2 linked regions of the Callithrix jacchus genome follow. The main gene of each other region encodes a partner of the protein of the gene in region 2 in a complex. Links are inferred from orthologs where the notes say so. Each region holds a gene or a part of one and is shown on either strand. Other genes may lie near its edges.

Region 1 (4,203 bases), on a different chromosome or scaffold from region 2:
AGATTCTTAGACTTCACAAAGAAACTTTATCCACAAGTGAGACAAATGGGCAAAGCTGGTTGCAGACAATATATTAGACTTCACACAGCAGAGTTCACGCTTGGGTGTGGGGAGGATCTATGCGGCCCCCAGGGGCAGGCCTCTCACAGAAACCCTAAAATCATATGTAATGACGTCTGGGTGTGCATTTTTCAGGGGAGAGGTCTTGGAGGATCTCATGACCCCCCAAAGGGCTAAGAAGAAACACTGACAGAGAGGGGGACAGATGTGTAGATTCTCTTGTCTACACCATAGTTTTTAAAAAGAGCTTCAGCCAGGCATGGTGACTCTTGCCTGTAATCCTAGCACTTTGGGAGACCGAGGTAATGGATCTCTTGAGCCCAGGAGTTCAGGACAAACCTGGGCAACATAGCAAGAACCTAGATCTACTTTTTTTTTTTTTTTGAGATGGAGTCTCGCTCTGTCACCAGGCTGGAGTGCAATGGCATGATATCGGCTCACAGCAACCTCCACTTCCCGGGTTCAAACAATTCTCCTATTTCAGCTTCCTGAGTAGCTGGGATTACAGGCTTACACCACCAAGCTCAGCTAATTTTTGTATTCTTAGTAGAGATGAGGTTTCTCCATGTTGGCCAGGATGGTCTCGATCTCCTGACCTCACGATCCACCCACCTTGGCCTCCCAAAGTGCTGGGACTACAGGCGTGAGACACCATACCTGGCCTCTACTTTAAAAAAAAAAAAAATTAGGCTGAATGTGGTGGCTTACGCCTGTAATTCCAACACTTTGGGAAGACAAGGCAGGCGGATCATGAGGTCAGGAATTTGAGACCAGTGAATTTGGCCAACATAGTGAAACCCTGTCTCTACTAAAAATACAAAAATGGGCCGGGTGTGGTGGCACATGCCTGTAATCCCAGCTACTCAGGAGGCTGCAGCCAGAGAGGCTGAGACTGAGGCCTGAACCAGGGAGGCAGAGGTTGCAGTGAGCTGAGACCATGCCATTGCACTCCAACCTGGGTGACAGAGTGAGACTTCTTCTCAGAAAAAAAGAAAAGAAAGAATGAAGAGCTTCAAGAATACTCAACCAGCATGGCTGCTCCTGCCTGTAATCCCAGGATTTTTGGAAGCTGAGGCAGGAGGATCACTTGAATCATTTGAGACCAGGAGTTGGAGATCAGCCTGAGCAACATAGTGAGACCCCTGTCTTATTTCTTCAAATAAAAAAAAATTTTTAATTAACGTTTTTTGTTTTTTTTTTTGAGACAAAGTCTTGCTCTGTCACCCAGGCTGGAGTGCAGTGGCATGATCTTGGCTCACTGCAACCTCCGCCTCCCGGGTTCAAGCAATTCTCCTACCTCAACCTCCCGAGTAGCTGGGATTACAGGCTCCCGCCACCATGCCCAGCTAATTTTAGTATTTTTAGTCGAGTTAGAGTTGGCCAGGCTGGTCTCAAACTCCTGACCTCAGGTGATCCACCTGCCTCGGCCTCCCAAAGTGCTGGAATTACAGACATGAGCCACCACGCCCAGCCAGTCTTCACACATTTTAAGCTGACCATAGGCTTGTGGTCAATCATTCAGCCCAGTTTCAGACAGATGCCCTGTGTGCCTTCAAGGTTCGGGAGTGCTTTAAGGAGAGTGGCTTTGAGGTCCCTATGATGGCATGAAGGAGAATCTGGGGCAGACATCCCCAGGCAGGAGTGAGATGTGAGGAGGGCAGTCTGGTTTTCTCACCTGATAAGGCGACTCGGTCTCAGTGATACGCTGTTTCCGGGTGGCTGCTGGAGGTGAGGGGTGTCGGGGCGCAGAGAAAGGCAGAGTGGTGAGCTGGGGTTGTTTTGTCGTTTCCAAATCAGCACCTCCATTACCATCCCTTTGGATGTTTGGGATCTGGGACCTTACTCAACCCCCCTCCTGGATCCAGGCACATCCTCAGGTTTTCTCCTGCCAGCCCCACTCACCCTCTGAAGCCCCTCGCCCTCGAGGGACCAGCCGGCCCAGGAAGTACACGGCCAGGGCAATAAGCACTGTCAGCACCAGGTCCCCCAGCACAATCCCCGCCAGCACGCCCGGGCTCACCGTGGAGCAGCTGCATTCTATGGCACAGGGGTCAGGAGAGGTCAGCATGTGTGCACTGGGAATAGTGGGGAGCAGGTCAGCGGGCAGTGGGGTGGGGGAGAGGTTTGGAAAGGGTGAGTGAGGGACAGAGACAGGGAGGTCTTTGGGAGGTAGGGAGAGGGACTGCTGGGTCTAGGCCTACCGCTCTGGGCCTGGGCCTGGACAGGACAGAGACCTGAGGAGTAAAAAGAAGGTAAACTGAGACACAGAGCTATGATGGGGGTAGGGGGACAAGTTTAGAAGCCGGGGAGGGTGGATCCTGACAGCCAGGAGGTTAGCAAGGGGGAGAGTGGGCCTGGCAGGACTCGGGGGCTGGTGTCTGGGCCACCAGAATGTGTGTGTTACTGCTGCACAACTTGTCCTGTGGGGACACCCTTAGATGTCCCCTCCTCCCCCTTGCTTGTAGTGGAGGGCAAATCTTGGGGGCTCAGGCTCTGGGAGAAAGCCACAGGCTCTGGGAGGCTGGGGACCTGCTCCCGTCCCAACACCCCGTTTTGGTTCTCTCATTCCACCCTGCTATCTGCCCTGTCCCAAGCTGAGCCCAGGGACAGGCAGCCACGGAAGCCCCCAACTCACCTCCCACGGCTAGCAGGAGAGGCAGGAGCAAGAGCCTGCTGCAGGGTTCAAGGCCCCCCATGAAGCCGGATGCCGCTGGACACCACAGTGTAAGGGCCGGTGGGATGCGCGGCGCAGCGTCCAGCCAAGTGAAGGAGGAAGTCTGAGGTGGGTGGTGGCAGAAGGGAGGAGGGGACAGGGGAGGAGGAGAGACAGAAACAAAACCCAAGAAAGAAACAGGCCCAGTCACCCAGGGGCCATGCCCCAGCTCTCCCGACCAACAACTGGACATGAAGGGCAAAGGGTACATGAAGTGCAAACTTGACTCCACCCACAAAGGGGATCAGACATCGTCTTAACAGGAGGGTCAGTGCATGACCTTCATCTGATTAGACTGAAACCAGCTCTGCCTCTTCCTGGCTGGGCAACCTTGAGTAAGTCACTCAACTTTTTTTTTTTAAGACGGTTTCCCTCTTGTTGCCCAGGCTGGAGTGCAATGGCACGGTCTTGGCTCACTGCAACCTCTGCCTCCCAGGTTCAAGCGATCCTCCTGCCTCAGCCTCCTAAGTAGCTGGGATTACAGGCACACGCCACCACGTCTGGCTAATTTTTGTATTTTTTATTTAGTAGAGACAGGGTTTCACCATGTTGGCCAGGCTGGTCTTGAACTCCTGATCTCAGGTGATCCAACCAACTCGGCATCCCAAAGTGCTGGGATTGTGTGAGCCACTGCGCCCGGCCCCAACCTTTCTGAGCCTGTTTCTTAATCTGTAAAATTGGGAGTAAAACAGGACCTACTTTTTAGAGTTGTTGTGGGGCTTAAATGGATTAAAGTTCCTAGAGCAGGGTCTGACACTTGTCAGCTTTTTTAAAGCATCAGCTGTGATGAGTATTCTTTAATCATCAGAACCTTGTGCTGTTTAAAGGATATTAAAAGAGCCATCATAACGTGCAGGCACTCTGTCCCAAGCATTAAATCATTCAGTCCCTGAAAAGCACTTCTGGGGCACATGCTTTTATCATCCCCATTGTTCAGAGAGATAGAGACACTTGCCTAAGGCTGCACAGCAAATCAAGATGGAAACGGAACCCAAGATCTAACGGCAGGTTTTTGACTCCGGGAGAGACGGGGGAAAAAAAAGATGAAATACGGGGGAAGGAGAAAACAGAGGCAAAGCCAAGAAAGAGGGTGAGAACAAGGCAGTGACACAGACACAGAGACGGGGCTGGCAGCTCAGGGAGACAGGTGGCTGGCTGCCCTCTGAATGAGGAAGTGACTGGGAGCAAGGCCTGAGGGAGGCCACCCCAAGGAAATGGGGACTTCTACCCCCTAGCCAGAGACTGAGCGCACTGGGGAAGGAGGAACCTGAGGTTAGGGTGCTGGGGGATAAGACAGCTGCAGGAAGCCCTCCTCCCCCATCCACATGTCACACCCACTGCTCCCTGGGCCTGGGCTCAGGAGAGAAAAGGGGAAACTGGATTCTGGTCACAGGACAGATGCCCAGTGGCCCATGGGGGAGGGGAGGGGA
Region 2 (3,546 bases):
TTTTCTACTGTCCACTGCTCTGAGTATTAGCTAAGTTGCACTCACCTTGTAGTAGTTTTCATCAGCACGCAGTGCTTTGGAAAGTCCAAAATCACTGATCTTGGCATAATGCTGAGTAACCAGCAACACATTTCTTGCAGCCAGATCTCTGTGCACAAAATTGCACTCCTCCAAATACTTCATGCCCATAGAAACCTGATGAACCAGTTCTATGATGTTCTTATCCTTGACATGTCTGAAAGTCACAACAATATCATCAGCTATAGGAGACAGTGACCCATTTCACAACAAACAACCATGCCCCTCACGAAGGCAGTAGGCAAATCTATTGCTTCTCTCTAACAATAAAACTCATAAATGGTGACAAATAACTTTATCGGCATATAGCTGTTCAGGACTGAATGTCATTCTCCTGGTGTTCATGAATGTCATTCTCCTGGGATTGAGTTTCCTGGCATGCTTGGAATTGCAGGAAAAGCAGTATAACAGGGTGGTCAAACCTGGCTCACAGCCAGCCAGACACACCTCAAATCCTTGCTCCACTATTGCACAGGTCACAGAATGAACCCTGACTCTCAGTTTCTCACCTATGAGGTAAGGGTAAAAACACCTCCCTTCCACGGAGACTAAAGAGGCAATCTAAGAAACGTAGTGCAGCAAACGGGGTAAGCTCCTTGGTGGTTGTCATTCCATTTTACTCCAAGTGAGTTTCCCCATCTCAACAACAGCTTTAGATGAGAACACGACTACTCCCTTGACAGATGTAATCAATAAGCAGCGATTGGTATTTTCAGAAGTCATTACTCATGAGGATATAAGGTCAGCCAAACAGATAAGACTTAACTGTCACCTCTTAGAAAAACATTTATTTTAAATGTTTCTTTAAAAAGAAAGTGTTCTTCCCAGTGAGAAAGGAGATTCATCATCAAGATATTATTCTAAGGTGGAGTCTATCCCTGGGCCAAGACTGAATGAGCACAGGAAGAAAAAGACAAAACTCTCAAATGAATTCTTCTCTGAATGAGTAGAGCTAACAGAGCTGACGCCAAAGACTGTGTCTCCGTCTGTCCCTCTGTCAAGGAGCCTGAGTGTGAACCAGTAAGGGAAGGCACAGAAGGGTGGGAAGGCTCCCTGAGGAAATCAGGCTGCTTGACCCATCCAGTCATGGGCCCCACCCCTCAGGGGATAGATCCCAGGCCCGTGGGGGTACCCGACAATACCTGTTCTGCTGCAAATACTTATTGAGGGGACCAAGTTCTGCCATCTCCATGACCAACATCCAGGACTCGGCCTCACATATCCCGATCATGCGTACGATGTACGGGTTGTCCAGCTGCTGCATGACATTTGCTTCTGCTAATAACTCATCTTTAAGAGCAGGGTCATTGGCCTCATTTTTCAGTATTTTCACAGCCACTGTTTTCACAACTCTGCAAGAGAAATCGTAATGCTTAAATCAATAATCAAAACGCCTCACTTCTAGATAATCTTCTTTTATGAAGCATAATCCCCATGCAGAAACAGTCCCATGGAAATACCTGCCACAGAGTGGAAGTGTGTCTTCAGAAGCCTGTAATGAATGGCCAGCGTTCCAACGATACTCACTGACTTTATAGACAATGAGAGTAGTGCCCCATTACTAAAAAGGAATGGTGGGGGCTGGGGCTGGGGCTGGGCATGGTGGCTCATGCTGATAATCCTAACACTTTCAGAGGTTGAATGGGGAGGATTGCTTGAGGCCAGGAGTTCAAGATCAGCCTGGGCAACATAGTGATACCCCATCTCTAAAAAAAATTAGCCAGGTGTGACAGTGCAAGCCTGTAGTCCCTGCTGCTTGGGAGGCTGAGGTGGGAGAGTCACACGGACTCGGGAGTTTGAGGCTGCAGTGAGCTTCACTCCAGCCTGGGTGACAGAGCGAAACCCTGTTTCTAAAAAACATAAAATAAAATAAAAAGAATGGTGAAGAACAGTACTAAAGAATGTCCCAACCAAGCAAAAACGCTAAATTATAAAATATTTAAATAACTTGTAAATAAACCTCACCAACAGTGACATACATGAATTCCTGTGACATCTTGTGATTCACCATCTCGGATTATGTGTAATGAATAGGTGGATATAAAATGCCTTTAGTAAATGTTGCAAGTGAATTTCTAGCTGCAGAATGTAAAAGCATACATTTAAATGCAATACACTGAAAAGGTAAACAACTCTCCTGAGAGAGGCTAAAGAAGACCTAGTAAATGGAGGGATGAGCTGTGTTTCTACACTGAAAGACTCAATATTGTAAAGACATCATTTTGCCCCAGATTAACCAAGAGAGCCTCTCCTCTCCCCAAACTTTCTAAGTGATATTATGTCCACAGTCCTGTCTCTGTTAATTCACAAATTTAAGCAGAGAATTAAAGATCACAATCTTTCCTAAACTGAAAGTTTATGATTAATACAGAAACATTCTTAATCATTGCACAAAATGACCGTGATATACAAACATATTTTAAAATAAGTATCACAACCAATTTTGTGTGTATATATATATATGTTCCTATATATACTTGTTAATATATACATATGCATGTTTTTGTGTGTATATACACGTCTTTGTATTATATATGTATACACATACATATGCACTAAAACAAATGGAAGGGACAGATTGGAAAGTAAGCATTTCTTTTTTCTTTCTTTTTTTTTTTTGAGATGGAGTTTGACTCTGTTGCCCAGGCTGGAGTGCAGTGGTGCCATCTTGGCTCAGTGCAACCTCCTCCTCCTGGGTTCAAGCTATTCTCCTGCCTCAGCCTCCTGAGTAGCTGGAACTATAGGTGTGCACTGCCATGCCTGGCTAATTTTTTAAAGTTTTTTGTAGAGACAGGGTTTTGCTATGTTGCCCAGGCCGGTCTCAAACTCCTGGCCTCAAACAATCCTTCTACCCCAGCCTCCCAAAGTGCTAAGATTATAGGCATGAGCTACTATGCTAGATTGATGTTTTCATTTTCTTGTGTTTCTATTTTCTAATTTTTCATAAGGTGCACATACTATTAGGTTGGTGCAAAAGTAATTGCAGTTTTTGCCATTAAAAGTAATGGTTACTTTCATTATAGTGTACCAGAAATTAACAAGAGTGACAACATTAATTTAAAAAGGGGTTAGTCATGCCAAGTTATATTTTGTTATTCTCGGTAGTGTCTAGAACCTGGGCTCATGTGAGGGTGAGAGCGACTCAGTGGAGCATGGTGACTTACTTTTTCATTTGGTAGTAGCCTTTTTTCACAGTTCCAAAATTACCAGAGCCCAGTTCTTTGTCTTCCAGTGTCAGCAGACTTCGGTCCAGGTAAACCTCCTTGGGCCTGATCTCCTCAGGGTCTGCGTAGGGGCTCTCATACACCTCTGTGTCCATGGGCAGTGCTTCTCTTTGGGGGCCTGCAATGCAGTCAAGAATCATACAACCTGGGGCTGGACCCCATATCAGGATTGATCCTTCCAAGAACATCATCTTCATGGAAGTGTGAACTCAGAGCACCATCAAGGTTACAAGGGATGAAAAAT

Evidence for each region. Proteins that work in one complex are often made in the same cells at the same time.
Region 1: the proteins of SYK (region 2) and TYROBP are in contact, whole or in part, in a crystal structure (PDB 7Q5W), measured with the Homo sapiens proteins. The link is inferred for Callithrix jacchus from reciprocal best matches to the Homo sapiens genes SYK and TYROBP. Residues at the interface, in NP_001167638.1 of Homo sapiens: Arg22, Arg42, Asn46, His62, His63, Tyr64, Thr65, Ile76, Ala77, Gly78, Gly79, His92, Asp97, Gly98, Leu99, Arg175, Arg195, Arg197, Lys212, Leu214, His215, Tyr216, Arg217, Ile228, Pro229, Glu230, Gly231, Lys232, His243, Lys247; in NP_003323.1 of Homo sapiens: Pro90, Tyr91, Gln92, Glu93, Leu94, Gln95, Arg98, Ser99, Asp100, Val101, Tyr102, Ser103, Asp104, Leu105, Asn106.

The regions. Positions count from the first base shown.
Region 1 is NC_133523.1:32,090,194-32,094,396, forward strand, and holds the start of TYROBP (TYRO protein tyrosine kinase-binding protein), read right to left. Parts: upstream 2,840-4,203; 5' UTR 2,757-2,839; coding exon 2,696-2,756; intron 2,295-2,695; coding exon 2,262-2,294; intron 2,098-2,261; coding exon 1,963-2,097; intron 1,783-1,962; coding exon 1,736-1,782; intron 1-1,735. UniProt on the Homo sapiens protein: Adapter protein which non-covalently associates with activating receptors found on the surface of a variety of immune cells to mediate signaling and cell activation following ligand binding by the receptors.
Region 2 is NC_133502.1:74,829,074-74,832,619, forward strand, and holds part of SYK (tyrosine-protein kinase SYK), read right to left. Parts: intron 3,421-3,546; coding exon 3,243-3,420; intron 1,431-3,242; coding exon 1,221-1,430; intron 236-1,220; coding exon 46-235; intron 1-45. UniProt on the Homo sapiens protein: Non-receptor tyrosine kinase which mediates signal transduction downstream of a variety of transmembrane receptors including classical immunoreceptors like the B-cell receptor (BCR).